3 linked regions of the Ovis aries genome follow. The protein of the gene in region 3 binds, or shares a complex with, the protein of the main gene of each other region. Links are inferred from orthologs where the notes say so. Each region holds a gene or a part of one and is shown on either strand. Other genes may lie near its edges.

Region 1 (10,083 bases), on a different chromosome or scaffold from region 3:
CTAAGCATGCACACGCGGCCCCACTCCTGGCTGCCCACCCAGCCACTCCTCCTGGGGCTGGGCTGAGACCAAGAGGGCGAGGGAGAGGGCGAAGCACATTAGTCTATTTCACACTCAGGCCGGGGGAGGGTGGAGATGCTTCTAGAAGGTGCGGCAAGAGCCAGATGTGCACTCGCAGGCACGACCCTCTAGCAGATTCCTAGAGAAGGGGTCAATCCCAGGGTTTTCTGCCCCATACAGGGCTTCCGTGGAGGTGCCAGGAAAATGGACCCCACAGCGGCAAGTGTGTGGACATTAGTTTTGGGGGCTGAATGCATCTCTGAGCCTGGAGCACAGGTCAGGTGTGAGCAGACCACTGCAGGCCTCTTTCCATCAGGGCCAGGCTGCCCACGGAGACGGGCAGGGCGCCCACGGAGACGGGCAGGGCGCCCACGGAGACGGGCAGGGCGCCCACGGAGACGGGCAGGGCGGCCACGGAGACGGGCAGGGCGGCCACGGAGATGGGCAGGGCGCCCACGGAGATGGGCAGGGCTGGGGAGCAGCTTGGAGTGCTGGGACGAGTCAGCTAGCACCCTTCGCTAACTGGCTGCACTCGTGTCTGTCACCTTCAACCCTCTGAGCCTGGACTGGTGCCTGGCCCCTGAGAGGCCCCGCTGGGCCTGTCCATGTCTGCCCCGGGGCCCCGGCTGCCCTGGTTGCACGTGCCTGGATGCCAGAGGTAGTGAAGTAGGGGATCTCGAACTTGACGCTGATCGGGGGCTTGCCCTCCTTGTCCTCTGCCTCCACGCTGGGCAGGCCAAAGTGGGCCCGCATCAGGTACTCCTTGCCGCCCTGCGGGAGCAGACCACAGAGGAGATGGTCAGGCGGAGGCCCTGGCAGGTCCATCCAACAGCTGCCCCTGGAGAATGCCAGGCTGAGGGCCTGGCCAACGAGTCCCTTCCTGCACGGTCTGTGGCCACCCTGGGCCTCGGCTCCTGCAACACACTCACACTTACCTTATCCTCTAAGCCTCCTGGGCTGCCCACACCAGCCCCGCTAGGGAAAATTCATCCTCTAATTCTGAGGATGAAGAGAAACTGCTACAAGTTCCCAGGCACAGAAGCCTAGTTGCGTCGAGGAAAAGAAGAACACTAGGCCTTGGGGAGGAAGGAGGGAGAGGAAGAGCGAGCGCTGGCACGGGGCGACAGGGCTGCCTGGGACTGACGAGCTGGCCCTAGGTCTCCCCCTGGAAGGGAAAGGCTCTGGCCCTGGAAGCGGACTCCAGAGCTGGGACTTGTAGCGGGGGAAGGAATGGCTGCCCTGCTGGTGCAGTGGTAAAGAATCCACCTGCCAATGCAGGAGATGCTGGTTCGATCCCTGGGTCAGGAAGATCCCCTGGAGGAGGAAACGGCCACCCACTCCAGTATTCTTGCCTGGGAAATCCCATGGACAGGGGAGCTTGGCAGGCTACAGTCCACAGGGTAGCAAAGAATCGGACACGACTGAGCGACTGAACTCTCAGCCATGAGGGGTCAGGAGTCCTGGCCTGGTTGTCCCAGTGCCTGGTGAGTAACACAGAACTGCAGAGAGCAGTAGGAAATGCAGCTCTCATCACACCAGGACACGGAGGGTTTTGATCCTCAGGCCTTTGGAAACAGGAGTCACTGCTGACCAGGGCTGCCTCTGCACGGCCTCGGCAGAGCAGCGCAGAGCTCTGCCTCTCCAGTGCTGTGCTCACCCTCCCCTTTCAGGGATGAAGTGAGAGGTCAGGATCTGCTCATCAGTGCAGGCGTGTGGACTCTGCCTGACTTGGTGCTGTGTGCTCAGTGAAGATTCTGGGACAACAAGGGGAGAATAATGCAGCCTCAGCAATAGACAAAGCAGGGCTTCCCTGGTGGCTCAATGGTAAAGAGTCTGCTTGCCAACGCAGGAGACACAGAATCGATCCCTGATCTGGGAAGATCCCACAGGCTGTGGAGCAACTAAGCCCATGCTCCACAACTGAGGAACCTGTGCTGTGCAGCCTAGGAACCGCAGGTACTGAGCCCACGCACCCCAGAGCCTGTGCTCCATGGCGAGAGGAGCCGCTGCGTGGGGAGACCGAGCACAACTGGAGAGTGGGCCCCACTCCTGTTTACCGAAACCAGAGAGAAGTCCACGCTGCAGTGAAGACCAGCACAGCCCAGATTAATAAAATTATAGTCAAAACAGACAAACAGGCAGCAAAGGAAGAAAACCAGCTCCATCAGTGTTTGCATGAAACAGTAACCAGACCAAAACCCTAAGCTTCAGAAAAACCAAGTGGAAAATGAAAGCAAAAGAATGCGTAGAGGTAGGCCCTCCCCGGTGGGTGGCAGAAGTCTGCAAGCCTACCTTGTGTCAATCAGGTCCATGTAAATGGGTTTAATTTCCTCTATTAATGAGACTTGGAGACTGGCTCACAGACCAAAACCCAACTCTACACTGTAAAAGCAGAGTCAGAAAGATGAAACCAGTAGCGAGAAAGGGTGAAGGCATGCCGGCCAAAGTCAAACAAAGCAGAGCAGGGCTGCGCTTCCCTGCGGTCCCGTGGTTAAGAATCTGTCGACCAATGCAGGGGGCACAGATCTGATCCCTGTTGGGGAAGGTCTCACATGCCGCAAGGCAACTGAGCCCGTGTGCCACAACCACTGAGCCCACGTTCTACAGCCCGCGAGCTGCAACTCAACTACGGAGGCCTGTGCACCCGAGAGCCTGTGCTTTACAGGACAGAAGCCCCTGCAACGAGAAGCCTACGCACGGCAACTAGAGGGCAGCCTTCGCTCACCATAATTAGAGAAAGCCCATGCATAGCAATGAAGACCCAGTGCAACCAAAAATTTTTTAAAAAAAGATTTAAAAAAAAAAAAAAAAAAAAGAGCAGGACTGCTGCCACAGGGGAGAATTAAGGGCAAAGAATTCCAGGTGCAGAGGACAATTTTCACAGCCTGAAAGGCTGCTGTCCTACAAATCCACAGGGAAGACACAAGAGTTATGAGCATCTATGCACCAAGTGACACGGCAGCAACTTCTGTTAAGCAGGCGCTACGAGAGATGAAACAGGAACCAGAGGAGCCAGAGAAGGCAGAGCGACCCAGCTCCCTGTGTGGCTGATGCCGCCACGGCATCATAGCATGCTCGTGCCAAGGTCTCTACCCCAGTTACAGGGGCCTTATCTTCTCAAGTACATATGGGATATTCACAAACTTTGACCTTACATTACAAACAGTGAATACTTCAATAAAGCTTATAAGCAGAATAGCACAAGTAACCTTCTCTGACCTCAATGCACCAAACTCAAAGTGAAGATAAAATGGAAAAGAAAAGGCCCTTAGACCAGAAAAACAGAAAACAAACAAAACGAAAAAATACTCATTTGATTACAGAATTTCTAGATAATAGTATCAAATATTACGTGCCCGTTCTATGGGTTATATAGCTAAGGCAGGCTTCAGAAGAACATCTGTGGCTTAAATATTTATATCAATACAAATTTTAAAAGAAAATAATAAAAGTTTAAAAACTTGAAAGTCAGGACAAAGGATGAAGAAATTAAAGACTTATAAAACTGGAAAATATGACAAACAAACTAAAAAGTGAATCTGGAAAAAAAATAGACAAACCGCTAGGTAACCGTATCAAGGAAAAGAAGTAACAAAAATGCCAAACAAGGTATAACAAGGGAGAAGTCACTGTCGTAAGAGAAGGGGAAAAAGAGCCCCCTTTCTACAACTCTGTGCAGGCAGATTTGAAAACCTGGTTAGGATGGATAATTTTGTAGGAAAATACAAATTTACCCAAACTGACTCCAACAGAAATAGAAACTCGAAATGGCCTAATTTCCACAGATGAGTTAGAAAGAGTAACAGAGATACAGATGGCCACACACAGCCAAATCTATCAATCCTCTCAAGGCCAGATGATCTCAAGGCCACTTTAAAGCTGTTCTGCAGCGTGGAAGAGGGAGACAAAAAAAAACTATGAAACAGGTACAATATTGATACCTGTTGAGACAGAGGTACCAAAAAAAAAAGTCAGTCTCAGTCATGAATCTCAATGTAAAAATACTACGTACACTGTTAACCAACAGAGTTAATGGCTCATCAAAGAAGACATATCATGACCAACTGGAGCCTGCCAGAATGCAAGGATGGTTCAAGATCCATCCTGTGTTGATATCCGAACTGACAGACATTTAGCATTTGGCTAAATTTGTTGCTGTTTTATGCTAAAAACACAGCCAAGTAGAACTGGAATAAATTGCAGCCCAAAGCAGCAAGACACTGAAAAAGGGAAACCCTAGCAGTTCCGGCTGGAGGCAAAGCCAGGAGGTTGCTCTCCACCACCACTTACAGGCATGGAGACAGCAACAGAAGCAGAGAGATGCCAGGAGTCATAAGGTGCCCAAGAATAGGAGAGGAAAAAGGGTAACTGCAACTGCCGCAAACATATGAAAGAGTATCTAAGAACCCATGAGAACTGAAAAAAAAACTACCACAATCAAAAAGATTACAAAGCGAAAATACTCCAGAGGCGAGGCTGAAAGACAAACACCAAACTAAGGAAAACCATTTGCAACTGCTATCAAAGAAAAAGTACTCCCCTCGCCCACATGCAAACAGCTTTTGGAAACCAGCAAGAGAGTGACCACACTTGACAGAAAAGTGAGCAAAAGGACAGCTACTACAGCTTCCAGAGCAAGAAACACAAGCGGCCCCGAGACAAAGCGAAAAGGCGCTGCGTCTTTTCCCCACGAGGAATGTGCGGTCCGTGCAGCCTCGTTCCTGCCTTCCAGTCCCTGGGCACTCTGCCCACAAACCCAGACTCCAGTGCTCCAAACCCTGAACACCAGCCAGGTGCGTGGATTTTGTAAGAATTTCAACCCTGGATCAATCCAACTGCTCCTTTTTCCCACGCCAGCTTGTGGGTCGGGCAGCAGGCGCTCTATGTTCCTGGAGCCGGTGCTGCTCTGGCCCCAAGGCAGGCAGTCTGCACCCCTGGAGGCAAGCTGAGCTCCAAACAGGAGTGGCAGGCAGAGAGAGAAGGGCAGCAGGAGGGTGGGGCGGGGGCGCTGTGCTGACTCTGCACACACAGGAGGAAGCTGGAGCACCCCCACCCCACCCGGCCCTGTTCTCCACCCAGCCTCCCTTCTGAGCCTCCCCGCAGCCCCAGGCGGGGATCCCAGCCCCGGGCCTGAGGGGCCCACAGCGCTCAGGCTGCCACGCTGCCCGGGACCCAGGGAGCAGGCGGGTGGGGGTGGGGGTCTGGGGGCGCCCTGCCGAGAGGGTGCTCACCGGGAAGGACTTGATGGACCACACGATCTCACTGTTCTCGGGCACCCACTTGACGCTCCCCACTGTCGTCTTGAACTTGGGTGAGTCGGCATCGTTGGGCACAGGGATGTGGATTTCTACATTGTTGGCTGTTGATCGCCGCTTGAACTGGCTCTTGGCCTGGAGATGAGGCAGTGCCCCAAGGGTGCAGAGGGAGAAAGTGAGCCCAGCTCCCACCCAGCCTGCTCCCCAAGGGCCACAAACCCCTTAGCCTGGCCTGTGGGATTCCCCCAGCCTATCCTGCCCTCTGAGGTTTTCTTTAAGCTCAACTTTGGAAGGTCACCTGCCCGCCTGTCTCCTCAGCCTTTGGGGCTTCCCATCCTTCTCTGCGGTCCTGGCCTCTGGGGACAATGTCTGCATCACCCAGACTGGCCTGGGATGGATGAGGTCCCTGGTGGCCGAAGTGCGCCACCTGGACACTCAGCCACAGCCCGCTTCCACAGTGGCTGCACCTAGGGCCTGGGCGGTGTGTCCTGTGTCCCAGGCCCACTCTCGGCGAGCTCACAGGGAAACAACATGGATGACAGCCACAGGCTCAGCCCCGGGGAAGGGGGCACAAGAGCCCCAGTGTGCCCCCAGTCCTGCATTAGGACCCTGTGTCAAAGGCACTGGGCAGGCCAGAGAGTCCGGAAGGCCCGTGCCAGGCGGGGCCGGCCCTGTCCCCCTCTTATGCCCTGCACATCCGGCTGATGCTGCGTGCAGGACACACACGCACCTTGATCATGTACTCGATGCGGCTGTGGGAATGCTTTTCAATCACGGACTCGATCCAGATCAAGGGCTTGACCTGTAGGGGAGGTGGAACACGGCGTTCTCGCCTAGTCGTTTTACAAAGCTCCCTTTCACAGAGGGGAAATAGGGCAAGTGACCACTGCGCCTGGTGTGAGCCCAGCACCAGGGGCTCCCAGGAGAAGCCAAGCCGGTGCCAGGATGGGTCAGAACAAGAGAGAATGCAGAAAGCATCACAGAAGACACTCTGGGGTGCTGCTGGGGAAAGGGGGCCGTGGTGCCAAAGGGTCTGCCCCACCAAAGTTTGGAGGCTCGTGTTGACAAGCAGGCTCCTTGGAGCCCGGGCTGCCCCTGGGGCGCTGTGCCCATCCCACAGGTCACTTCACAGACCCGAGACTCCCCATGGAAGAGGCGGCTCCCACCCAGCAGGGAAAAGGGGTGCTGCCGGGGCGAGGCGGGGGTGGGAGCCTGGGGCCCAGGCGCTGGCGACTGCGCACTCACGTGTGTGTTGAGACGGTAGGACATGAGCTCGAACTCGCCGTCAGGCGGGATGAAGGAGATGGTGCGGTCGTTCTCAAAGCGCGAGAGCCGCACGCACTGGTGGAACTTCACGTCCTCCAGCTCCACGGACTTGCTTTTGCCACCTGCAGGGAGCGGGGAGGCGAGGGCGTGACAGGCAGACGCCAGGTCCCCCAGGCCACTCTCAGCAACGGTGCCCTGCTGTCTGGGGCCCACCCCTGCAGACCAGAGCTGCTTCCAAATCTGTGAGCGCGTCTTGGGCCCCGAACACCAGGGTGGCCTGCCTTTCTTCACCCCCAGGAAGCCCCATCACATCCCAGCAATGGGCTGAGGGCAGAGCTGGTGGGCCGGTTCACTCTGAGCCCCCAGCCTGGGGTGCTGCCTGGGACATGTTTGCTGAATGACGAACAGACCCCACTGGACGTGCTCAGGGATGATTCGGGGTCCCCTGAGGGCCCTGGGCCTGTCGTCCCTGGGATCCCATCTCAGTTTCTCAGCCCAGAGAGGCTGAGGGTCGAGCCCAGTCCTGGGAGGGGAGCTGTTCTGCTGGGTGGATGTCTGAGAGGCCCTCACGAGCACTACTGCTGATGTCACTATGACAACCTTCCTGTGGGTGGGAGGGGAGGCTGGAGGTCAAGCTTGGGAACACCAGAGCACCAGCAGCCCTGGGCTTCTGAGGCCACCCCGGCTGCCACACCATAAAATGTTAAACCCAGGCCAGGGAGGGTGAGCTCGAGCCACTGTGTGTGGTTTCTGCACAGCTCAGCCCCAATGCCAGGGGTGAGGACAGAAACTGGGCCCAGGAGGAGAGCGGCCCTGCAGTCCCTGAAGGAGGGCGGGGCTGAGGACCTTCTGTGTGACCATCGAGGTTCCCATCTGCACCTCTGGCCTGAGAGCCGACACGGGGACTGGACTGGAGGATTTTCACTCCCCCGTGTCCTCCAGGCCCAGGCGTTAGCTGACTAGTTTTCACCGTTGAAAACAACGCGACAATGTTTCTAAGGCAATATGCCTAAGGTGAACGTGTTGACCACTCAGGTGGACGCTCCTGGGCCCGGGCAGGGTACTCACGGCCCGTGTTGTCGAAGAGGACCTTGTCGTTGAGGCCCAGGCGCAGCTCGGGCATGCCGGACAGGAAGACGCGCATCTTGATGGAGCCTACGATCTCACTGCGCAGGACGTTCCCGTTGGCACTGACCTGGGGGTTGGGGGGCCCGGGGGTGAGGGGAGGCCCCGCGCCCACGGCCACTGTCCCCCACCACACTGTGTGACCCTCCCGGCCTCTCCCACTCTCCCTTCTCTCTGTGCCCTGAGCTGAGGAGGCAGTGTCAGGGCAGACCCCGAAGGCAGATACCCACGGGCCCCGCCCTCTGGGTCTCAGGCCACAGCAGGCTCCTCCCACTTGGATGGGCCAGCTGATGCTGGCGCCTGCAATCCCTCTGAGGGCTGACCCCTCTGAGGTGCCCCTAGAATGCCCAGGGCAGACCTGGTGGCTGGAGGCTGTGTGCTTGGCTGGCCTGGGCAGGGATTCTATCAGGGTCTGCTCATCCACTGGGCTCTGTGAGGTTTTCTCGGAGCAGGGTGGACTCACTTTCCGGAAATCTATTTCTTCATGTGAGGCCAGGTGAGGCTACTTTATGCTCTAGGTGAGCCTAGGGCTGGTTGAAGATGGAGCTGCCTGGGTGCTGCTCCCAGGGCTGCTCTGAGGGCTGATGCAAAGTAACAATTACACTTAAGCAAATACAATCCCAGCTCTAACACTGCCTGGGCAGTTCCTGCTTGACTGGGCAGGGCTGTGACTTGGGCGACTTTTAACTCCTGTGCAGACTGGAAGGCATCTGAGGGTGCAACTGAGTATCACAGCACATAGGAAACAGCCTTGTGGACACAGTCGGGGAAAGAAAGTGTGGGGTGAATGAAGACGGCACACAAAAGGGAAACATACACCACCGTATGTAACACAGACAGCTGGTGGGAATTTGCTGCATGACGCAGCGAGCACAGCCCAGTGCTCTGTGACAACCTAGAGGCGTGGGATGGGGAGGGCGGTGGGAAGGAGGCTCGAGAGGGAGGGGACAGATGAATTCCTATGGCTGATCCACAGGTATGCACATGTATGGCAGAAACCATCACAATATTGTAAATCAATTATCCTTCAGTTAAAAATACATGCATTTTTATAAATAAATAAAGTAAAAATCACAGCAGGATGATGGGGAAACCCGGGGGCTGTCTTGAGGGAGCTGGGCTGCTGCAGCACGTCTCCACGGCCCCATTTTAGAGATGAGGACACTGAGGCACGGAGCAGCTGGCAGAGGTTCTGGGGCTGCAGCCTGGCCCACCACCCCACAGTGCCATTCTGTGAGGATGCCCATCCACACCGGCAAGCAAAACAAACTCAGAGACCTGAGCCTACGGGCCACTCTTTGGAGGCCCGGACTTCCTGATTTCTGTGGAGAAGCAGGAAAATCTGTCCAATCTTTAACTCAAATATCTGGAAGTGCCGTGGGCAGGCATGGAAGACCTTCACCTCTGAGGGAAGTGACTCAGAAAAAGGCACAAAACAGCACGGAAGGCCCTTCCACCTCCCGTCACTCACCATGCTCTGACCTCGCTGGCCTCTCGCTGACCTTGATTCAGCAGGCAGCGTGTGACCTGACCCCCATCTGCCTGCCCATCCACCTCCATCCACACTCTGGTGAGGGGTCGGGTCGGGCTGCTCACTGCGGGGTCCAGCATGAGGATGGTGCCTGGGGCAGCACGTACTCGTGAGTCCATGCAGACACGGCCCCTCGCCCCTGAGCTCTGGGCAGCTGGCATGCCCACTGCCTTACTCTGCGGGTTCTCAGTGCCCTTAGTTCTCCTCCTCTGGGGGGCTATCTTCCCTGGGGGAGGGGGGCTGGGCAGCCCTCTAGAGCTGAACAATGGCAAAGGAGGCTTGGGAAGTGGAGATAAAAGCCACGCAGCCTTTAAGGCCAATGCTGGAGGAGGCCCACAGCCGGTGCCGTCCCAGGGCAGGCGTGGAGATGAGTGTCAGCAATACGGCTGCTAATTATACCCGTAGAACCAGATTTTCAGAATCTGGAGGCCAGTGTTGATTTTGGAGGCCGCCAGCTCTGCAGTCAGACTCAGGAAGGCGTGCTCTATCCTGCCTGGGACGTCCACACTGCCTCGTGCTGCCTCTTGTATGAGAGGACAGGGCTCCCTGGACAGCGCCATGTGTGCGGACACAGGGGCCGGGGCAGCCCTGAGCTCCCAGCGCTCTCCTGGGCAGCTGCTTACAACTACTCCTGGGATTTGCCTCTCCACCTCAGGACACCCAAGAACATGTCTGGGCTCAGTAAACAATCCAGATGAAGGTCCTCAGACAGGAGGGGAGCACAGGGAGCCACAGTCACCTCATGGCTTAGAAAATAAGATGGCAGATACATTTACATTCAGTCCACTGGAAGAATTTTTTAGAAAGTGCTCTCATTCAGAAATTCCATGCCTGGGCACTCAGCCC
Region 2 (10,591 bases), on a different chromosome or scaffold from region 3:
CTCCTGTAAAGCCTGCCCTCCCCCCAGCCCTCCCTTCCCTCAAAGTAGCAAGGTTAGAAAAAAATTAACTATGCTGTTCCTCCCCGGGCACTGGACAGAGGCCCCACTGCAGCCAAGAAGGAAGGGGAGGGGCAGATGAGGGAAAAGGACTTCCCTCTGGAGACACAGAAGTCCCCCTCCCAGGCAGAGAGGCCGCCCCCGGCTGGCTGCGGGGAGGGCTGGAGGTAGGTTATGGGGCAGGGAGAAGAGAAGAGCCCTGAAAACCTTTTCCCTTTAACCTGACATATTTATATATTTACAGTTATAAGGATGGGGGAAGTTTGGGGTGACACTGGTTCTTCAAAGGCAGGGAATGAAAGCCAAATAGCACCCCCGACTTGGTCACATGTTCCTGCCTCCTAGCTCCTTAAAGCCTTCAGTGAGAAAAGGGGAAACAGGAGGTAGGGGTAGAAGGAGGGAATGCTTGAGGGTCCTGAGCCCACAGCTCACTGCAGAAAAAGGTGAGGCAGCAGAGCAGGCGCAGCTGGGTCCCAGCAGGAGGAAAAGGGCCACCAATGCCCCACCTCTCCACCAGATCCCCACATCTCCACTCGGCCCCAGGGCGAGGGCTATGCCAGACCCATCTCCTCCAGCACACTGCGTGGCGACTCATCCTCCTAAGGCAGAGACAGAGGGTGGTGGGGAGACACCAGGAGAGACGGGGTGAGGTTGAGGGGGGTGGGTGGGCAGCAATCACGAGGGCAGACCGGGGCAGGGGGGCGGACACAGAGACACAGGGGAGAGGGGAGAGAGAAGCCCAAGTAAGCCCAAGGCTGGAAAGGCCGGGGACCCTTCAGGGGAGCTGCCCAGCCTCCTGAGGCCTCCTTGTAGAGCCAACTGAGGCAACCAAACCGAGTCCACCACCACCCAGAGAACCCAAAGCCGGGAGCTCGTTGAGCAGGGGGCTCGACCTTATTAGCTGAAGGGAAGGGAGTAAAATGGGGGCTTGGGAGCTGGGAAACCTGCTTTCCCAGGGCTGGAGGTGGCAGATGGTTGGGTGGGACCTTTTTGTTTTTTCCCTCCAGAGTCGAGGGAGGCAGTAAGAAGTTGGCGTCAGGTCCCCGAGGAAAGTGGACCAGACTGCAGAGAGATGAGTCATAAGGGTCTGAGCAGAGCACTAGTAACAGGGTGGGTGTGCGAGTGCCAGGGCACATGTGTGTGTGTGTGTGTGTGTGTGTGTGTGTGTGTGTGTGTCTGTGTGTGTCTGTGTGAGATGGGGGACTAGACCAGTGAGGTAGCAAGTCAGATTCTACCCTCTCTCCGGCTGCACGGATGAGCACCCCCTCTCCCCCTCCTCAGAGCCGGCTCAGGCCGGCTTGCTCATCACTGCAGGTTCCGGTGACTCATCTCCTTGCACCAAGGCTCAGCAGCGGCACAGCAGAGAGGGGGCAGGCAGCAACGGGGTGAGGGCGGGGGTGTCGGACAGAAGGGAGGACCAACGACCAGGTGCCCTCCACCCAAACCCTGAAATCCCCAGGGCAAAACTCTGCTTCTCAGCAGCAGAGGCTTTGGGTATGTGTGTGTGTTTTTAAAAAAGGGAAGACACCAGGGAAGAAAAAGAATGACCTATTGTGTGCCCCTTCTCCAATTCTCCGGGCAACCCTAAACACCAAGAGAAGCATGGGACAAAAGCGGGCTGTCTGGCCCCCAACTACCTCCTACCCTGAGCAGTCAGGGCTTGAGGCCCAGCTGGCCAACCTGGCAGCGTGGGGGCCAAACGCCACAGGGAAGGGGGGCCGTTTCGGTAGCGGCGGGAAGAGGGCAGCTGGGGTCCACAGGTGAAGGGTCCAGGGTAGGGAGGGTGCCCTCGGCCACGGTCCTCTTCCTCCTCCTCACTGTCCCGGACCCGTACCTCCTGCAGTAGGTCCGCCTGCTCGATGGCCTTCAGCACACTCTTCTTGGAAGTGTCCTGGACGTCTCCCCCCATCAGAAACTCATCCAAGATGAAGTAGGCCTTCTCAAAGTTGAAGATGATGTCCAGCTCGCAAACCTGGGGGGCGGGGGAGGAGGCAGAGGTGAGGGTCAAGGTGCGTTCTCCCCCCTCGCCTGCGCCCCAGCCTCCCCAGCTCTTTCCCCACCTTGGCTCCGTGGCCTTCATGACCACTCTCCACCTTGGGTTCTTGCCCCAGGTCTATGTCCTCCTGACCCCTAGGCTTTCATCCTGGGTTCAGCTTTTCCTTCTCCTTTTCTCTTCCTCTGTGATCATGAGATATTAGTTGCTCAAGTCTACCCTTGACCCTGACTCTTGTTGCCTTCTCCCCTAAATCTATGACACAAATCCTACCAGAGGTTGGGTCGGCCTCCCCACCCATCCCCACCCCACTCCCTGCACCCCAAGGTGCTGTGACAGGGCAGGGAAGGAGACTCTGGGTCACAGAGTAAACGGCTTCAATTCTAGGCCACACTCTGACACTAACCAGCTAACTCTTGTTTTAGTCGCTAAGTCGTGTCCGACTCTTTTGTGACCTCATATACTGCAGCCTGCCAGGCTCCTCTGTCCATGCAACTTCCCAGGCAAGAATACTGGAGTGGGTTGCCATTTCTTTCTCCAGGGGATCTTTCCAACCCAGAGAACGAACCCACGTCTATTGCACTGGCAGGCGGATTCTTTATCACCAAGCCAGGAAAGCCTGGAAGGAAACCAGCTAACTCGACATGCCATTTAACTTCTCTTGAGTCCGTTTTCTCTTCCAAAAATGGAGACACCAACACCTACTCATGGAATGAGAAGCAAACAGGAGAACCTGAAAGCTCTTTGTAAACTGTTAAGTGAAACACAAGTTATGGTTATTACTATTCCCCATCTAAGATATGAGCTCACTGCCAGTGCCCAGGCTGTAGCCCAGATCAGTTCATTCAGAATCTCTGGGGGTGATTCCCAGGCATCGCTATTGTTTAAAAAAAACTATCCAGAAGTCTCCAAAGCAAAGTCAAGGTTAGGAACCACTGATACTATCTGAACATGACCTCTGTCTTTGTGTGGGAAGTTTGAGCTGAGCTGTAGATGGATTGATTAAGTGGCAGATTCTGGTTCCCACCCTTCTCCCATGGGGGCCTGATTAAGACGCATGGCTAATAGGCTTAAGGCTTAAAGAGGGAGATTAATTACTGTTCTCACTGTTCCAACTTCCCCTTTCCTGAGTCAGAACAGAGACTGGAAGGGTCCGAGTCTGGTAGAAAAAGAGGATTGCTGAGCGCGGAAACTGGGGTGGGTGGAGAGACTTACGCTGCCAAAGTATTTGTCCAGGAGCTCCACGTATCGGTGGATCAGCTCCAGCGTGATGAGCTCATTGTCTTGGCCCTCGATGGCACAGCAGAAGTAGAGGCTGGCGTATCTGAGGACGGGGACACCGGAGGGATGGATGGCTGGGTGTGCTGCCGGGGCTGCTTCGGGACCCAGGCATTCTGTGCCCCAACCTCCCATTTCCCCCATTCCTGATCTGTGTCCTTACTGGACACAGGCGGGGTGGCTCCAGGGTAAGAAAACGTCACTCACTGTGTCTCTTAGTGCCTCTCATAAACACAGGCAAAGAAACAAGCTCTTTCCCTCTGACCCATTCAGTTTGACTCAGCAAAAACCTGAGCCAACAAATTCACCTGCTCAGAGGAGGAACCACAAATGGTTTGTGTGTCTGGGGGTGTGTGTATTGGGAAAGTGGCCCAGGGTCTACAACTGTTCAGTGAGGCTGCAATGGATGTGTGCAATCAGTAAGATCGGGCCTTTGGGACAGAGGTAGGTGCGTGAAGTAGGTACCAGGCTTGAGCAAAACCAAGAAGGAACAAGTCTCTCTTCAAGGTGAATTTGGAAAGTAAAGGCTGGCTGGAGTTCATCACTGCCTTCCAGATGTCCTTAGCTCTCAGCTCTCCCAGACCTAGTTAGTTAGTGTTAGCCACTCTTTGGACTGTAGCTTGCCAGGCTCCTCTTTCCATGGGATTCTCCAGGAAAGAATACTGGGGCGGATAAGTATTCCCTTCTCCCGCGGATCTCCCCAACCTAGGGATAGAACCCAGGTCTCCTGCATTGCAGGCAGATTCTTTACCGTCTGAGCCACCAGGAAACCTCTGCCAGACTAAGGGACTGCCTATTTCCCAGCCAGGTGAACCCATTCCAGACCCCAATCAGGCAGGATCCAGGCAGGTCTGAAAGTAGGTGAGGAGTCACCTCTTGTAGACAACTTTGAGGTCCCTCCACTCCAGGAAGCTGCACATCTTGGGCTTGCGAGCCAGAACCACCTGCATAAGCTCCCGAACCATCTTCTTCCGCTCCTTGTCTGAGGTGGCCAGGTACCATTTTTGCAGCCGCAGCTTCCCCTGCCGGCTGAACAGCAGCATGAATCGCATCTGGGGGTGGGGGGTAGGGAGAGGAAGGAGGAGTCAGAGCCGAGGTTTAGAGCTTTGATTCTCTGAGCTTGTTTCCTCCAAAACCACACAGTCCCAAACTCCTCCCATTCAACTCTTTTCTCCTCACAGACCCTACTTTCTTCAAAACATCAGCCCTTCTGGTCAACTGGGTATTTCCATTAGCAAGCACCTTCCTTGGAGGGGGTGTCAGCGCTTCTGAGTCTGTCCTGTGGGTTCGAATCCTGGCTCTACTAGTTGAGAAATTTGCCCTGGGCGTTACTTCATTTCTCTGGGCTTCAGTTCCCCTGTGTGTCAGGTGGAAATAATAAAAGTACCTACCTTACAGAGCTGTTAGGTGGAACCGACATAGGAAATCGCGCCTGGCACGAAGTAAGCACTATAACACCTTGGATGTCATTATTATTATGTCCTGACTTACTGTTTCCTAAACCTGGTTTCCAAAGGTGGGTAAAATGCTAGCACAGTGACGAGCAGCCCCTAAGTTGATGGCAAGGAGAAGTTTGCTTTCTTTCCCGCTTTCTATCCACCACCATCCTAAAATCAGGTATTTTCTTTCCCCAAGAAGCTACTTCAGCCCTCTGCCCCATCCTAGCCATACACCCTAGCCAATGTCCCCAACATACTGCCCTCCATTCCTATGCCCAGCGGTATCCTTTATGTTAGCACATGATACCAAGTGAAGTCGCTCAGTCGTGTCTGACTCTTTGCGACCCTATGGACACCAGGCTCCTCCGTCCATGGGATTTTCTAGGCAAGAGTACTGGAGTGGGTTGCCATTTCCTTCTCCAGGGAATCTTCCTGACCCAGGGATCGAACCCAGGTTTCCTGCATTGTAGACAGACACTTTACCGTCTGAGTTACCAGGGAAGTCCATAACATGACACCAGGACCCCCTAGATTCCACCACCCTCCACTCTACTCAGCCATCCAGGCATATAGCCAGAGGTATTCCTTTTTTCTTCCTTTTAGGGTGCCTCCCTAGCATGCCCACACCTCCCCAGATATCAGGTGATCAATTTCCCTTTCAGTTCTTCAGTTTGGACCCAGCCATTCTGGGCGGCTCGCCTAGTGAATGTTCCTGGAACAAGCACAAGGAGGTGGAGCGGGGAGACGTGCAGAGCTCTCACTCTCACTACCCCGTGCACCCCCAGTTTCCCATTTCCAGGGGGGTAGGGGCTCCAGGCCACATCCTGGAGTGATCTCCCTCCCCTTGTAGCTCGTCTCTCCGTGTATGCCACCAGGGCTGGAGTCCTGGGTGTGTGGAACACTACTAGTCTAGACGGCTACAGATCGGAATTCAAGAGAACTGTATTTTCTGCTATCGGGGAAAGGGAAGCGCTGCTAGCGTGGCCGGAGGGCAAAAGAGTGGTGCAAGGGAGCCTAGGATGGGAGGGTGGGCCAGGGAGCAGGAAGACGGAAGGCCTGCGTTCCGGAAAGAGGATAGGGTAGAGGGGCGGAGAGCCAAGAGCCCCGGAGCCGGGAAGCCAAAGCCTGGGTCCCAGAGAGCAAAACTCGAGCCCACCTGGCTTCCCCCACCTCATCCCCGCCTCCAGGTGGGCAGGACGACAAACCGAGGCAGGACGTCTATTCCTCGCACCCCGAACGATCCCCTCCCACACACCGCCCTCCCCGCCTGCCGCCGCTCCACTCTGGGCTGCACGTGGACGGAGGGTCTCGGAGACAGGCGACCCCTGCCGCCTCCGTCAGCCAGCAGGCCCCAGACCCCGTTCCTCGCGCGAGTTCCCTGCGGCAGTGATCCGGACCCCTGAGATCGCGACCCGTGCGCTCCCCCTGGCTCCGGACGGTCCCGCCGCCCCCTAGTCACCTCCCTCTGGCCCTACAAATGCGCCCACTCCCCGCCGCTTCTCCCGAAAGCGATTTCCAGCTGCTCTTCCTTCCGAGGCCGGCTCGCCCACCCGCCCAGGTAAGTGAGGGCCTCTGAGAACTGGAGGAGGGAAAAGAGCGGCTCACACAGAGGGCAGCCCCCAAGGACCCCTGCAGGTGCAGCCCACGCCCCTCGGTCCCCCCTCCCCTCCCTCTTCGCAGAGCCTACCATCCTGCAGCCTCCAGCCCTGCGCGTCCCTCTTCGGCCACCGTAGGCGCCAGCTCCACTCCCTTTCTTACCCTTTCGCCTCCTTCCCTCCCTCTCGCTTGAAGCCCCGCCCCGTCCGCCAGGGTGCCGGGAACCAATACGCTGCGTACTGCGCAGGCGCCGACGCTGCGAGGCGCGCGGGCGGGGCCGGAGGCGGAGAAGCGGTGGCCATGGCAACCAGGTCTTTGACTTCAGCTTTGAGTAGCCCTGTCGTCATGGTAACAAGGCTGTCTTGTGGACTGGTTAGAAGATGGGGGAGGAGGACAATGAGGTCTTCGCGCTTTGGAACCTAGGGGGAAAAAGGCGGGAAAAGGGGTGAGAGGTGGATGAGATGACCCCTGGAGTTTGTGAGGAAGTAGGGTAATTTAATGGAAGGGGTGTGGGCGATTGAGAGGGAGCAGGGTGGAAGCCATCTGTAGAGGAGGAATGACGAGGAAGGCAAAGACAAAGGGTGGTGGTGGGGCAGGTATGAGAAAAGTATGGAGCTCAAAACAGATATCTACTGAGAACCTGCTGGACGCAACAACACTCAAAGTAAGAGAAGGGTGTAGGTAATGAGGCAGACAAGAAATAAGGGAAGAGGAGAAGCTGATAGAAAAGTGAGGTAAGGAAGAGGACAAACATGATCAAGGGGAAAGAAAGAGGAAGAAATAAAGAAAATCTTGAAAAGTTAGCATGGGTCAAAGCTAAAAAGGGACGGTGTGACCCAGACACGAATGTAAAGATGAGACGGAGGTAAATTGCAATACATGTGTTTTGAGAGGGATTTGCAAGTGTGAGTGTGTGTGTCCACATGCCAAAGCACTTTGCATATAAATGGATGAGAGGAAATCTTAAATTTTGTCATGCCAAAAGCTTAATGGTATATTTCTAGACATTTGTTGGTAACTAATGATGCTATTATTTTTGAGTAGCACTTGAAGCAATTATTGGTAAGGCCTTACCTGTCTCTGCTTTGTATTCTTTTCTTCTTACTCTTTTATGGAGGTCATATGCTTTAATTGCAAGAGGGTGGGCTTAATTCACCTGCAATGCAATCTGGTCTCTGACCCTTACCTGATGTGCAGTCTCGGGTGGGTCTTTTAAACCTCCATTTCCTCATTTAAAAAATGAAGATAGTAATACCAACCTTGCAGGTCTGATTTGAGGCTGGATAGAAAGTATCTGAAACATTGTCAACAGTTGATATTGCAATATCAGTAGTAATTACTGATAACAGTAGTAATTACTACTATTTGCTTTTCCCAACTTCTTTCTTCCAGTACTTTTTCTTCATCCTTTCTTTTTCATGTCCTTTTCTCTGCCTATGTCATAGGCTTGCCAATGGCATAGATGTTGGCTGAACTATCTTGATGTTATTTTTTTAGATCAGAAATAATATCAATAAGGTAAGCTGTTAGAGTTAGAAAGGGTACTCTGTTACAGAGTGAAAAGAAGGAATGAGAGTGTGTAAGAAGGACAGAAGGCAAAATAATAAAATGTACTCGTGGGGAAGAGGAGAAGATTGTTTATAAAGAAGTAATGAGCAGTGAGGCAAAGAAGAGATCTAGGCAACAGCCCAAAAAAGTGCGGAAGATCCAGAGATGTAAGCTCCTACACTCCTTGAAAAGATGGCATTTTCTAGAATTCCTTATCTCAACATGCTGTGCCTAGCTGCAAAGAAGATAAGATTCATGAGAGAATTGTTAGAAATATGGGTTTTGCTCATGTAGAATCACAGACCTAAGTGGTTTAAACTAGCTAGAAGATGGTGGATTACGTTTCTTCATTGTTAGTGAATGATATACATAGATAATCTATGAGTTAGTGGCTCCAATAAACTTGTATCTGCAGGTAAGTTTGGATTTGATGCAGTGGGAAGTTGGGAGTCATTATGATTGTCTAAGCTGGTGAATAACTTGGTGGAAAACATTTTCAGAAGGTTAATCTTATAGTAATATGGGAACGATTTGAAAGAACAAATGGAAGGCTGCAAGATCATCTGGGACAGGGGTGCCCAGCCTCCAGGATCTAATGCCTGATAACTTAAGGGGGAGCTGATGTAATAATAATTGAAATAAAGTGCACAGTAATTGTAATGTGCGTGAATCATCCTGAAACCTCCTCTAGCCATCCATGGAAAATTTATCTTCCATGAAACCAGCCCCTGGTGCCCAAAAGGTTGGGGACCACCAGTCTAGGAGACAGTTTTGGGAATCTAGACACAAAGATGAAATGAAAAGTGAAAATGAAAGTCACTTAGTCATGTCTGACTCTTTGGGACCCCATGGTCTATACAGTCTATGGAATTCTCCAGGCCAGAATACTTTCCCTTCTCCAGGGGATCTTCCCATCCCAGGGTTTGAGCCCAGGTCTCCCACATTGCAGATGGATTTTTACCAGCTGAGCCTCAAGAGAAGCCCGAGAATACTGGAGTGGGCAGCCTATCCCTTCTCCAGCAGATCTTCCCAACCCAGGAATTGAGAACCGGGGTCTCCTTTACCAACTGAGCAATGAGGGAAGCCCTTGGAGCTGGACAAACTTGAGAGATACCTGTAATGCACCAATCAATTGAAGCTGCGAACTCATCTAAATAGAAGAGGAAGAAGAATCAAAGATGAGTCTGAAGGATTAGTGAGTGGTGCCTTTTGTATAAATGGAAAAATAGAAGAGGTGAGATTCTCCTTCATAGGTACGATTGGTGTTTGTATTGTTATCTGGCAAAGCCCATGCTGTCCCCTCCCTGAGCCTTCCCTCCTCTGGTTGTAGAAGTAGTTCCTGCAGTGGGTGGAAGGGGGGTCCAGATGGCCCCTGAAGCCTTTCATTTCTGAGTCTGTGATCTGTCTCCCTCTTATGATGATGCGCCCTGCAACCATTTTTGGCTCGTTCTGTAAGTAGTCATTGTTCTCTGATGATGTCATTTGGAGTCATCTCTGGGTTTTTTTTTAACTTCTTCTTTTTTTAACTAAGCAATTGGGACCTTATTGTATGCTGTTCCTAAGAGTCCTGAATACTTTGTGTGGTAGATGTTTGCCATTCTTTTTCACTTCCCTGCCTCTAAACCCCCTTCCTAGGGTTTGGGAATCCTCACATTATGATGCCCGGGGGAAATAGCACAACCTTGCAGTGTAGCATTTGAATTTGCTTTTTGTGCCCACAGCATGAGCCTGTCTGCTGGACTCGGCCAGTCCATCCACCAACCTGGAGGTTGATCCAGGAGGGAATGAGGTGGGGATGGGATAATGAGGACAGGTAAGGGTCCTGAATACTTTGAATTCTGAATTCAAAGTATTGAATTTGAATTCTGAAGGGTCCTGAATACCTCTGAATTCTGGCAGAGGGTCAAAACCTAGGGCGCAGGTGGAGTGGCACCAATGGCAGCGTCCTGTGCACCAATGGCGGCAAGGGGTACCATGTAGGCATCCCATGATTTGTGATTTGGGCCACTGTCTCTAGCATGAGACCTTCTGCTGGTTCTCTGGCCCTCCTGACAATTCCTTGAGCTCCCCAGTTTCCTTTCGTGTTTCATTTAGCCAGAGTTGGTTTCAATCCCCAGTAACTCAGGACTCTTGATTGGTCAACTTGGTAATCAGGTTGTACCGTCCGGTGACCACACATGTGAGTTGGCCCCACCTGTTCAGCTGGTTTGGAAGCGCCTCGTGGGATGGTGTCTTACTCATCTTTTGCTTCTTTACAGCACCTCTCACAGTGCTTGTTGATTGACTTCGGTTATGATTGGTGTGCATGGTTTCCTCATCTAGATTTTTTTTTATTTTAATTTATTCATTTATTGTTGTCTATGCTGGAGCTTTCTCTAGTTGTGGTACGCATTGCAGTGCCTTCTCGTGTTGCGGCCCTCAGGCTTCCGTAGTTGTGGCTCAGAGACTCTAGGGCTCGTGCTCAGTAATTTCGGTGCGCAGGCTGTTGTCTCGAAGCACATGGGATCTTCCCAGATCAGGGATCTAACCTGAGTCCCCTGCATTGGCAGCTGGTGGACTCTTAGCTACCAGCCCACTAGGGAAGTCCTAGATATTTACATCTTACTTCTCACCCCAAATATGCTAAATTCTAATTTCTAAATAGTAGTACCTATCTAATATCTATTATCTATTATTCCTG
Region 3 (10,083 bases):
GAAAGCCCATCCAACAAGAAGGGGGGCTGGGATATCTGTGGGACTGAGGCAGGGGCAGGAGCAGCAGCTGGAGCACCTAAATGGCACATCCCACAGTTAAGTCAATCTTAGCTGACAAATCCCACCAAGAGAACACATAAGAAAATTACCACGATCTCAAATTAAGGGAAGGAAGCCTTAAACAATCTGCAAAAAGCATGAACCATAAAGAATTAAAAATTTCAAATACTTTAAAATGAGTAACTTCTGTTCACTAAAAAATACCACCAAAAAATGGACCAAAGGCAGAAGAAAGTGTATGCTACAAAATAACAAATGGATGAGTATCCAAAACTATAAATATCTTCTACAAGTCAATAAAGATAACCCAATTTAAAGTAGTAAGACAAATGTACAAGCAAAAAAGAAAAAAGAGATACGTACAAGCAATTCACAGAAGAAACATGAATGAAAAGGAAATATTATGAAAAGAGATGCTCAAGTTTACGAGTAATGAGGGAAATGGAATTTAAAACCACGATGAGGTGCTACTTCACATCCCCCCAGCATGGTGAATACTTCAGTGTCTGATAACACCAGATACTGGTTAAGACTATGGAGCAATGGGGAATTCTAATCTCTGCCACAGGGCTGTGAACTGGAGAACAATTTGGCAGTAGCAGAGTTGAATACAGGCTTTCCTGGTGGATCAGTGGTAAAGAATCCTCCTGCAACACAGGGAATGTGGGTTGGATCCCTGGGTCAGGGAGATGCCCTGGAGAAGGAAATGACAATTCACTTCAGTCTTCTTGCCTGAGAAATACTATGAACAGAGCAGCCTAGCAGGGCTATTGTCCATGGGGTTGCCAAAGAGTGAGACACAGCTTGGCAACTAAACAACATCAGAGCTGAATACAAGTATACCCTTAAACTAAAGGTCCTCAACTGCAAAACTAACAAAATTTCAGGCTGGATAAGACTTTGCTGTGAGGGGCTGTCTTTTGCGCTGTAGGATTCAGCACCACTGGCATCCTCTCAGTCTGACACCCAAAAAGTATCTTCAGACATTGCCAATACCTGGTGGGCAAAATCTCCCCCAACTGAGACCCACTGCCTTTTTTAGGAATGCTTTAATTCTTGCATATTTACACAGGGAGACATATACAAAAAGTGTGCAGGGCAAAATAACTTCTAACAATGAAATTCTAGAAATAATCAAAATGTTCACTATCAAAATAATGGGTAAATAAATTGTGGTACACTGACAAAATAAAATACTATTCATTGTCTGTTGTTTTTTAGTCATTAAGTCATGTCCAACTCTTTGCAACCCCATGGACTGTAGCCCACCAGGCTGCTCTGTCCATGGGATTTCCCAGGCAAGAATACTGGAGTGTGTTGCCATTTCCTTCACCAGGGGATCCTCCCGACCCACGGATCGAAACTGTATCACCATATCTCCTACACCGAGAGACAGATTCTTTACTGCCAAGCTACCATGAAAGCCCAAAATACTAAACACATACAGCAATAAAAATGTGAATCCATTAGAAATACACTTAACATAGATTATTCACAAATTCAATGTACAGCAAAAGAGCAAGGTATAAAAGTACACATTCGATTGGACACCAGTTCTAAAAAGCCAAAATAATACTACACACTGTAACATTCCAAAAATACACAGGAATGGTAAACACCAAAGCTAACACTATTTTAGGATAGACAGTAGTTACCTCTGGGATCAAGAGGGAATGAGAAAAGGAGGTAGTACACAGGGAATGTCAACAATCTTAGCAACATTTTATTTTCCAAGCTAAGAAGATCAAGACAAGACTTATTTATTGAATTTTACATATATTAAATATTGCAGAGTATTACATTAACACACACACACATCCTGGGAAAGGTGGTGTGAAGTGGGGAAACAAAATCGTCAGTCTATTATTTTTATTTGATCCTTCCAAATAAGAACAAGTTATGGAGGGCAAATGATAGAACATGACCATGAACTGACAGAAATCAAGATTCTAAGAAGAAGCATAAGAAAATTCACCAAAAGAAACAGAATGCATTTTATGCTTAAGTTGGTTTCAAACTACTTTATGAAATTAGCTGAAACTACACCATTTTAAAAATCACAAAATAAAATAAAGGTTGAATTAGCTTTTAAAAAAATACCCAAGTACACTAGGAAAAAAAAATCATATAGTAAAAATTAGCAAGTAAGGGAGAAATACATATGACCAAGCAAAGCACAAGGACCTAAAACAAATGAAGACACCACAGGATGTGCAGTCAGATTACCAATGAAGAATATAAACAATATTCAGATAGCTATCCTAGTTTCTATAAAACTAATCTAGTAATTTTCCCACAATTTCCATTTTCAAAACAATTTTAGAAACATCTTTCCATGGAAAATCATAGGCTACCCAAGACACAGAGGCAACATATGGGTCCCTAGTCCTTCAAATTGTAGCTTTTTTTCCTCCTATAATGGTACAATAGGTAGTTCTGAAAAACAACAGAAACTCAGAGCTCAAGTTTTTCTAAAAGCACATACTAAATTTATTTTCTAATTTATACTCATTTAAATGATGGTGCATGAGGATTTGACTGTGATGATGGCTTAAAGAATCTAGAATTCAAAACTTTACTTAAAATTGTAAAGAAAATGGGGAATTGCATTTAAAACACATTATGTTATACAGAGTGAAATAAGTCAGAAAAACAAATATCTTACATTAACGCATATATATGGAATCTAGAAAAATGGTACTGATGAACCCACTTGCGGGGAAGGAATGGAGATGAAGATGTAGAGAATGGACCTGGGCACACAGTATGGGAAGGAGAGGGTGGGACAGATGAAGAAAGTAGCCTCAACATATGCGCTTTATCACGTGTAAAATACATGGCTGGTGGGAAGCTGCTATGTAATACAGGGAGCCCAGCTTTGTGCTCTGTGATGACCTAGAGCAGTGGGATAGGGTGAGGGGAGGGGAGCACAAGAGGAAGGGGATGTATGTATAATTATGGCTGATGCATGTTGTTGCATGGCAGAAACCAACACAACACTGTAAAGCAATGTTCGTCTAATTAAAAAATAAATTAAAAAAGTAAAATACATTATGAATAAGGAAAAAAAGCTAGACTTCATTATTTTGCTTTTTCTTGTTAACACTAGAAAAAAAAGAAAGAACAAAAATAAAACATTAAGGCTCCAGAATAAATGAGTTAAAGGAGACAAAAGGAATGTGCAAAATGGAAATTCACATATAATACAAATATGGACAAATATAAAACATTCCCTAGACTGAAAAAATAAAAATAAGACGAGAGGGTCAATCACTGTTAGGGCTTTTTTATTTATGACTAACAGTGAAATTCATAGACATTGAGGAAAAGGTAAGTAACATTTACCAAGTGCCTACTATGTGTCATGCATGCACTGTCACTATTCCTCACAAATACCCTATGATGTGTAAGAATCATTTTTATTTTAAACAGATTCAGAAAGAGTAAGCCTAACTTAACTGAGCCTAAGAATGTAAACCCAAAATAAATTTGGGCAAATTTATGTAATAACAATATTTACTGAGGCATCAGTTAAGAAAAATCTGGAAACAAGCAAAATGCCCAATAGTAAGGAACTGAATAAATAATGGTTAAACTTAGCAAATAGTAGACAACCATCCAAAATTATAATTGTGAAGATTATACACTAACATGGAAATGCTAATATGTTAATAAGTAAAGCATATCATCTATACACTGTGTTCTGGTTTTTCATTTGGCCTCACCACACAGCCAGTGAGATCCTAGTTCCCTGACCAGGGACTGAACCTGGGCACATGGCAGTGAAAGCACAAGAGTCCTAACCACTGGACTGCCAGGAAGGTCCCCAAACACTATGTTTCAAATGGGGTTGTTCCTGTTTTTCCGTATGTTCAGGACAGCTTTGGCATCCCGGGATCTGAAACTGACTGTGAATGGCCCTAAGCAATGACAAGCAATATTTTGAAATTTTGTTAAGACATAAATATAAACCATAAGTTCTGGGAGGCAGTTATGTTAGGAAAAAACCTTTAAGTCTGTGATAGCCTGTCTAGATTAGCATCCAACATCCTTAACCTATGGCCGTTTTCCACTCAAGGTCATGTATGCTGTAACTCTCCATTTTACTTTTAGAGAAGTCACTTAAGATAGAAATTATATGCTACAGTGATATTCTCTTGACCTCTTGTGTTTACAGTATCTGCAGACACACTAATTATAAATTTCTACTACATGTCAATAAAAATAAGATATCCCCAAATGAAAAGTTATGTTTGAATATTATAACCCTGGATAATTTTATCCTTCCATTGCTTTAACACGAAGGAGAAAGAAAGGGCGAGAAGGAAAGAGGAAAACAGGTTAACATCTTTCCACTCTCCACAGAAGGCCACAGCTCTTGGAAACTAACCATGAGTAGAAAGAAACCTAGAAAAAGTCATGTATTTCTTGGGATGTGCTTCTTTTCTAGCCTGAGACTGTTCTGTCTTAAAACACTGAGTAATTTACTCTCCAAAAATTAAAAATTAGACTTTGAGGAATCTCTATGAATTACCTCTAGAGTATTAGTATGGCAACATAGGCCAGAAGTTGTGAAGATTCTTGTTTTTTGTCACTTACCCTCTCCATTCTTCAACTGTCTCATGTGCTAGACAGAAAGTCTACATTCAGTGTAGTTTTTCCCTAAGGCCCTTATCCCTGGCCAAGCATGAAATTAACTCTAGTCTGGCCTCACCTGTAAGGTTGATGTCTCCCAGCAAATCAAGAAGCTCTCCACCAGCAGAAGCTGGTTTGCTTGTAGGTGCAGTTGGAATAACAGGTGTTATGTCATTTCCTCCCAACAAATCCAATAAATCATTGGCCTAAACAAGAAAATAATATCTTATTCATTGTCACTGTCTAATCTGTTATCTAACACAAAGCCCCTTCAATACTTAAAAACAGGGAACAGAATTATCAATCAACCCAGGAACACTGAAGGGAATCACCTAAGAAATAGGGTCTAAGGAACCAGAAGATCATGAGGATAAGCAAGGGAAAAGCTACCTGGCTGGTGGGCTGTGGCCCCGAGGGCGGTGGCTTTGTCTCTAGAGGAGTTGGGTCTGTCTCTCCGTTTGTCTGTACAATCTCAGTAGGGCCATTTGTGGTCACTTTCTCCATGACAGGCATTCTCTCAAGAAGGGCAGACCTGGAAGAATCTGAAGTGGTTAAATTCTAGGCAGTTAACCTAGATTCCCTACCCAAAACAATCACTGTTAACTGTACTCCAGCCAAATGTGGAGAGACCTCTCCCCTCCCCACATCCCAACACATATACTAAAATAGAAGCTGGATTACAAGAATACGTGACCTACATTCCTGACTGGATTAAGGGCAGGCAGGAAACCTTGAATGGACAAACTGTCCATCTAAATCCCAAGAGCCTGAGAATTATAAGTGACAGAGAAATTGGAATGAAAGAAAGATAAACAAGTACATATTAGCAGTTCACAATGGTAATAGTAATGATATCTCAATGAGATTCTCCTGAGATGAAACAACTCTCACTTCTTCACCAAATAAAATGGAAATGAAGAAAACTTTCCTTACCAAGAGAAAGGGGAAAAGGGGACTAAAAGAACACGGTTCACTTATTTCTTTAGAGGCTAGGCAGAACAGAAGACGAACAAAACACAAGTAGCCAAGCCGCAAGAACTGAACGGGGTTGTGATGTCCCACCAATAAAGCATGAGGGGTGAAACTCCTTTACGGGTTATCATGAGAAAGTGTTTGGGATGCTAAGAGGCACATGCATTGTTCGGTTTCTTTCACTTACCTCATATGGTCGTATTTCTTAAAAAGTGCATTATATTCTACTGCCCTCTGCTGGAGTTCCACATCAATGCTGCTTCCATAGATGGAAACCACTTTCTTAATTCGGCTTTGGGATAAAACGACAAACAAATTCAAACATCCAAAAGAAAATTCATAAACAAGCAGAAAGAACAGTGTTTAAAACAGAGGTTTCTGGTTAAAATTTTGAAATGTTCATCTTAATATCTCATACCCTAAAATTTGATAAACAAAAGTACCAATTATTAATTTGCTATAAAATAACAAATTTATAGTATTCATTCCCTTCTTTAATAACTTTACAGTAGTAAGCTTTTATCAACAAAAGGGTCATAGCATCAGACTTTTATAAGCAAAGTGTCACTGCCTAATACCAAATTCTTATACTTCACAATTTAAACAGTAAAAAATATCATTCTTCATGAGGCTTTACATTAAAAACAAAAGCAAAACATCTGAGAGAACTAAGTTTATATTAAATATGCTTGACTGGGAAACTGACCCAAGAATTGAGTTCTATTCAAAACAGTGGCTTTTTTTAAAAAAGCAAAATTTAAAGATTTAAACACCAAAATGATTTTCTTCCAATTCAGATATCTCAAATTATAATAAACCAGAACCTTTACATGGGAAAATAACTTCAGTACTTTAAAAAAATAAACAGACATCAGATACCTGATTTTAAAAACATTAGTTTTTACCTTCAAATTAAGCAGTGGTGGGATGAAGGGATGACAGGGAGCAAAGTATAGATCTAATAAGGATTAACCATGAAGTGATGACTGTTACTGAGGAGTAAGAGGTATAGGCAGTTGATTTTACTATTCTACTTTTGCCTTTGCTTGAAGTTTCCCAAAATAAAAGTTTTTAAAAAATATATCGCATTCACCCTTTTTCTCCATACTCACTTTACAGTACAGGTGAATCGAGTAGAAAGCTTCATAATAGCAGTGAGGGCATAACCTCGTGTCACAGAGGTGGACATATTAGATATTAGGACACTTTCTAAAATATCCAACACTTCATCCTCTGTTACCTGGGGAGAAAAAAATGGAAACATGACACTCTCACTTCTCCTCAGCCAGAAGGTAAGAGAAACAATGTAAGTCACTATGATGGGGTGGGGAGAGGGACCTAAAGGTGAGTTTCAAATCTCACAATGGCCCAGTAGGTTCCAACTGAAAACTGAGCAAGCTTTCCAATGAATCTATGATTCCACCCTTGCGTCTTTAAAAGGTTTTCAAGGAATCGACTTCAAAGCATTAAACACTACTCTTAAAACAAAAACACTGTCTTCCCTTTTCTTAACCAAGAGTGACAAAGGGTACCTGAATAGGCTCTTCCTCTTCACATTGGCCAGATACAAGAAGATCTCCATATTCACCTATACACCATGCAGCCACTTGCACCAAAGGTTGCTGTCAAAAGAGAGTCACAGTTTGAAAAAGATTTTTATCCTTTAAAGGATTAATACAAATCATATAGGTCATCCAACCATAAAGGTCACAACTGAGGCACCTCTAGAGTGACAGTAATAAGAACATATCAGAAAAATAATGGCAATTTCCCCCCTAAAGTAAAAGTACTTACCTGAGAATAATCACCAAGAATTGCTTTGTACAAGCGCTGGACAGTATAGGCATGCATCTCCACGCTATTGGTTATTAACTGGATCAAGTTGGGAACTGCATCATCACGAACATAGCTTCCTGCCTAAAAGGAAATGTAGACAGTTACCCCAAGAAACACACAGTAATGTTAAGAAAAGTCAGCTAGTGCTGTTGTTGCTCAGAGGAGACAACTACAAAACACCCTCCAAGATAAAGTTGTTTCCAATTCTCATGTTCAGAAGCAGCTCAAATTTCAAAGTCTTATTTAAATGAATATTCTAAGTTCTAAGGTTTTATAAAAAGATAAAATCTTCTCTTTGTCCAAAGTAAAATTAAAATATAAAGGCTCAGAATTTCAAGAAAGGCCCTTTCTACTCAGAATGTTTACTAACGCAAAGATGTAAGAAATACATTCACTGGGAACTTAATTACAACAACCTCTTCCTCCCCACAACTCCTCAACACGGGTGTTAAAAGCGTACAAATGAGGCAGTCCTAAGATGGCAGAGGAATAGGACGGGGAGACCACTTTCTCTCCCACAAATTCACCGAAAGAACATTTTAACACCAAGCAAACTCCACAAAACAACTTCTGAATGCTGGCAGAGGACATCAGGCACCCAGAAAGGCAGCCCATTGTCTTCAAAAGGAAGTAGGACAAAATATAAAAGATAAAAAGAGAGACAAAAGAGGTAGGGACGGGGATCTATCCCAGGAAGGGAGTCTTAAAAAAGAGACAGGTTTCTAAACACCGGGAAATACTCTCTCTGGCAGGTCTGTGGCGGGCCTTGGAATCTCGGAGGGCAAAATAACCGGGAGGAAAAATAAATAAATAATTAAAACCTACAGATTATGTGCCTAACAGCAACTCCCAACAGAGCAGCAGCCCAGATGCTCGCATCCCCCACTAGCAAGTGGGGGGGTGGGGGGTGGGGGGGGGAGGGGCAGGGAGGAACAGGCTGTATTGCTTAGGGTAAGGACCAGGCCTGAATGCCCTGAGGCAATCTGAGGGAACTAGCTTGAGAAAGCAACCCAGACTGTGGGATAGCTATCCCGAGAAAATCCCTAACCTAAGACACCTCCAGGCCCACTCACAAAACAAAGGACTGAGCAGAGCTAGCAGGCTGAGAACCGGCCCATCCCCCTCAGGAGACAGGCAGGCGAGGGAAGCCAGAGCTGGAAGGGAGCAAGCACGGCCCCAGAGGGGCATCCTATACCAAACTGCAAGCAGACTTCCTTGCTAACCAAGACTTCTTGAGATTCTGGATGATCGACATCCACCAGGAGGGTCACAGCGAGAGATCAGCTCCCCAGAAGAGACACATGGCACACCTGAGAAGGCACACCCGTTGTACACCCAGAAAACCAAGCAGCTGGAACAGGGGAGGCAATAAGTCACAGCCTTCAACTGGGGGCAACGTGCTCGCCAAGCACCTGGTCACCTGAGCTGCTTGGACCTGGGACGGGCATAAAACACAGGCCCAACCAAGTCTGGTGTCTTTGAGGAGTGCCCAAAAACCTGAACCTGAGTGGCTTAGACCTGGGGAGTGCATACAACCCAGGGCCAGCATCAGACAGTTCCCGGCAGAGCAACTTAGAGCCTGAACAGGGTAGACTGGGAAAGCAACACGCCGTGAGCAGGGACAAACCCAGTGTGGCTGAATTACTGTGAGCACACGCCAGTGATATTTGTTTGCAGTGTTCCTCCCTCCCCACAACACGACTGAACAAGTGAGACTAAAAAAAGTGACCACCACAGCCCTCCTTGTGTCGGGGTGGAAATTAGACACTGAAGAGACCAGCAAACAGAAGAAGCTAAAATAAACAGAGGGAACCGCTTTGGAAGTGACAGGTGCAATAGATTAAAACCCTGTAGTTAGCACCGACTACATAGGAAGGGGCCTATAGACCTTGAGAAGTACAAGCTGGAACAAGGAACTATCTGAAAATGAACTGACCCCACCCTGTCTGCAACAGCTCCAGAGAAAGTCCTAGATATATTTTTACTCTTATCATTTTTTAAATTAAAACAAAAATTTTTTTCATGTCTAAGTCCCCCATTACTCCTTTAATTTTCATTTTTATAACCTACTATTACCTTGCAAAAAACCCTATTTTGAAAGCAAAATTCATGTATGTATATAATTTTTGTGACTTTTTTCTTAATATTGTATTTTTGAGAATCTAACCTCTACTCTATATTTTTAATCTTTGTTTTTGGTATTTGTTATCAACCTTGTACCTTTAAGAACCCAATCTTCAGTACCCATTTTTACTTGGGAGTGAGATTACTGGCTTGACTGCTCTCTTCCCCTTCGGACTCTCCTTTATCTCCACCAAGTTGCCTCTATCTCCCCCCTCCTCCTTTTCTTCTCTACCCAACTCTGTGAATCTCTTTGTGTGTTCAGGATTGTGAAGAACACTTAGGGAACTGATTACTGGCTGGATCTGTCTCTCTCCTTTTGATTCCCCCCTTTATCCTCCTGGCCACCTCTGTCTCCTTCCTCCCTCTTCTCTTCTCTGTGTAACTCTGTGAACATCTCTGAGAGGTCCAGACTGTGGAGACCACATAGGAAGTGATTACTGGCTAGATGGCTCTCTC

Evidence for each region.
Region 1: the proteins of AP1G1 (region 3) and AP1M1 are in contact, whole or in part, in a cryo-EM structure (PDB 7R4H), measured with the Mus musculus proteins. The link is inferred for Ovis aries from reciprocal best matches to the Homo sapiens genes AP1G1 and AP1M1. Residues at the interface, in NP_001288140.1 of Mus musculus: Arg24, Glu25, Gln28, Lys29, Ala32, Arg35, Ser36, Arg39, Glu40, His64, Phe65, Gln67, Leu68, Gln97, Val99; in NP_031482.1 of Mus musculus: Ser289, Asn318, Asp319, Ala320, Asp321, Ser322, Trp334, Pro336, Glu337, Asn338, Ser339, Gly361, Leu362, Pro363, Ser364, Val365, Glu366, Ala367, Glu368.
Region 2: the proteins of AP1G1 (region 3) and AP1S1 are in contact, whole or in part, in a crystal structure (PDB 1W63), measured with the Mus musculus proteins. The link is inferred for Ovis aries from reciprocal best matches to the Homo sapiens genes AP1G1 and AP1S1. Residues at the interface, in NP_001288140.1 of Mus musculus: Leu7, Arg8, Ile11, Arg12, Arg15, Leu54, Tyr55, His57, Met58, Gly60, Tyr61, Lys78, Phe79, Thr80, Arg83, Ile84, Leu87, Met90, Leu91, Asp94, Glu95, Thr115, Phe117, Leu123, Cys124, Gly127, Cys128, Tyr152, Lys155, Lys156; in NP_031483.1 of Mus musculus: Met1, Leu14, Arg15, Leu16, Gln17, Lys18, Trp19, Leu21, Ala22, Thr23, Asp25, Arg28, Lys29, Arg42, Lys45, Met46, Cys47, Ser48, Phe49, Glu51, Lys56, Gln74, Asp75, Asn76, Glu77, Leu78, Ile79, Leu81, Glu82, Leu83.

Annotation. Positions count from the first base shown.
Region 1 is NC_056058.1:6,574,853-6,584,935, forward strand, and holds part of AP1M1 (AP-1 complex subunit mu-1), read right to left. Parts: intron 7,777-10,083; coding exon 7,650-7,776; intron 6,704-7,649; coding exon 6,561-6,703; intron 6,118-6,560; coding exon 6,046-6,117; intron 5,451-6,045; coding exon 5,292-5,450; intron 832-5,291; coding exon 706-831; intron 1-705. UniProt on the Homo sapiens protein: Subunit of clathrin-associated adaptor protein complex 1 that plays a role in protein sorting in the trans-Golgi network (TGN) and endosomes.
Region 2 is NC_056077.1:36,002,386-36,012,976, forward strand, and holds the start of AP1S1 (AP-1 complex subunit sigma-1A), read right to left. Parts: upstream 6,494-10,591; 5' UTR 6,458-6,493; coding exon 6,455-6,457; intron 6,326-6,454; exon of another isoform or gene 5,857-6,325; intron 4,381-5,856; coding exon 4,202-4,380; intron 3,375-4,201; coding exon 3,266-3,374; intron 2,030-3,265; coding exon 1,691-2,029; 3' UTR 657-1,690; coding exon of another isoform or gene 609-656; 3' UTR 1-608. UniProt on the Homo sapiens protein: Subunit of clathrin-associated adaptor protein complex 1 that plays a role in protein sorting in the late-Golgi/trans-Golgi network (TGN) and/or endosomes.
Region 3 is NC_056067.1:38,854,997-38,865,079, reverse strand, and holds part of AP1G1 (AP-1 complex subunit gamma-1), read right to left. Parts: intron 7,585-10,083; coding exon 7,462-7,584; intron 7,290-7,461; coding exon 7,200-7,289; intron 6,908-7,199; coding exon 6,780-6,907; intron 5,960-6,779; coding exon 5,855-5,959; intron 5,228-5,854; coding exon 5,086-5,227; intron 4,902-5,085; coding exon 4,775-4,901; intron 77-4,774; coding exon 1-76. UniProt on the Homo sapiens protein: Subunit of clathrin-associated adaptor protein complex 1 that plays a role in protein sorting in the late-Golgi/trans-Golgi network (TGN) and/or endosomes.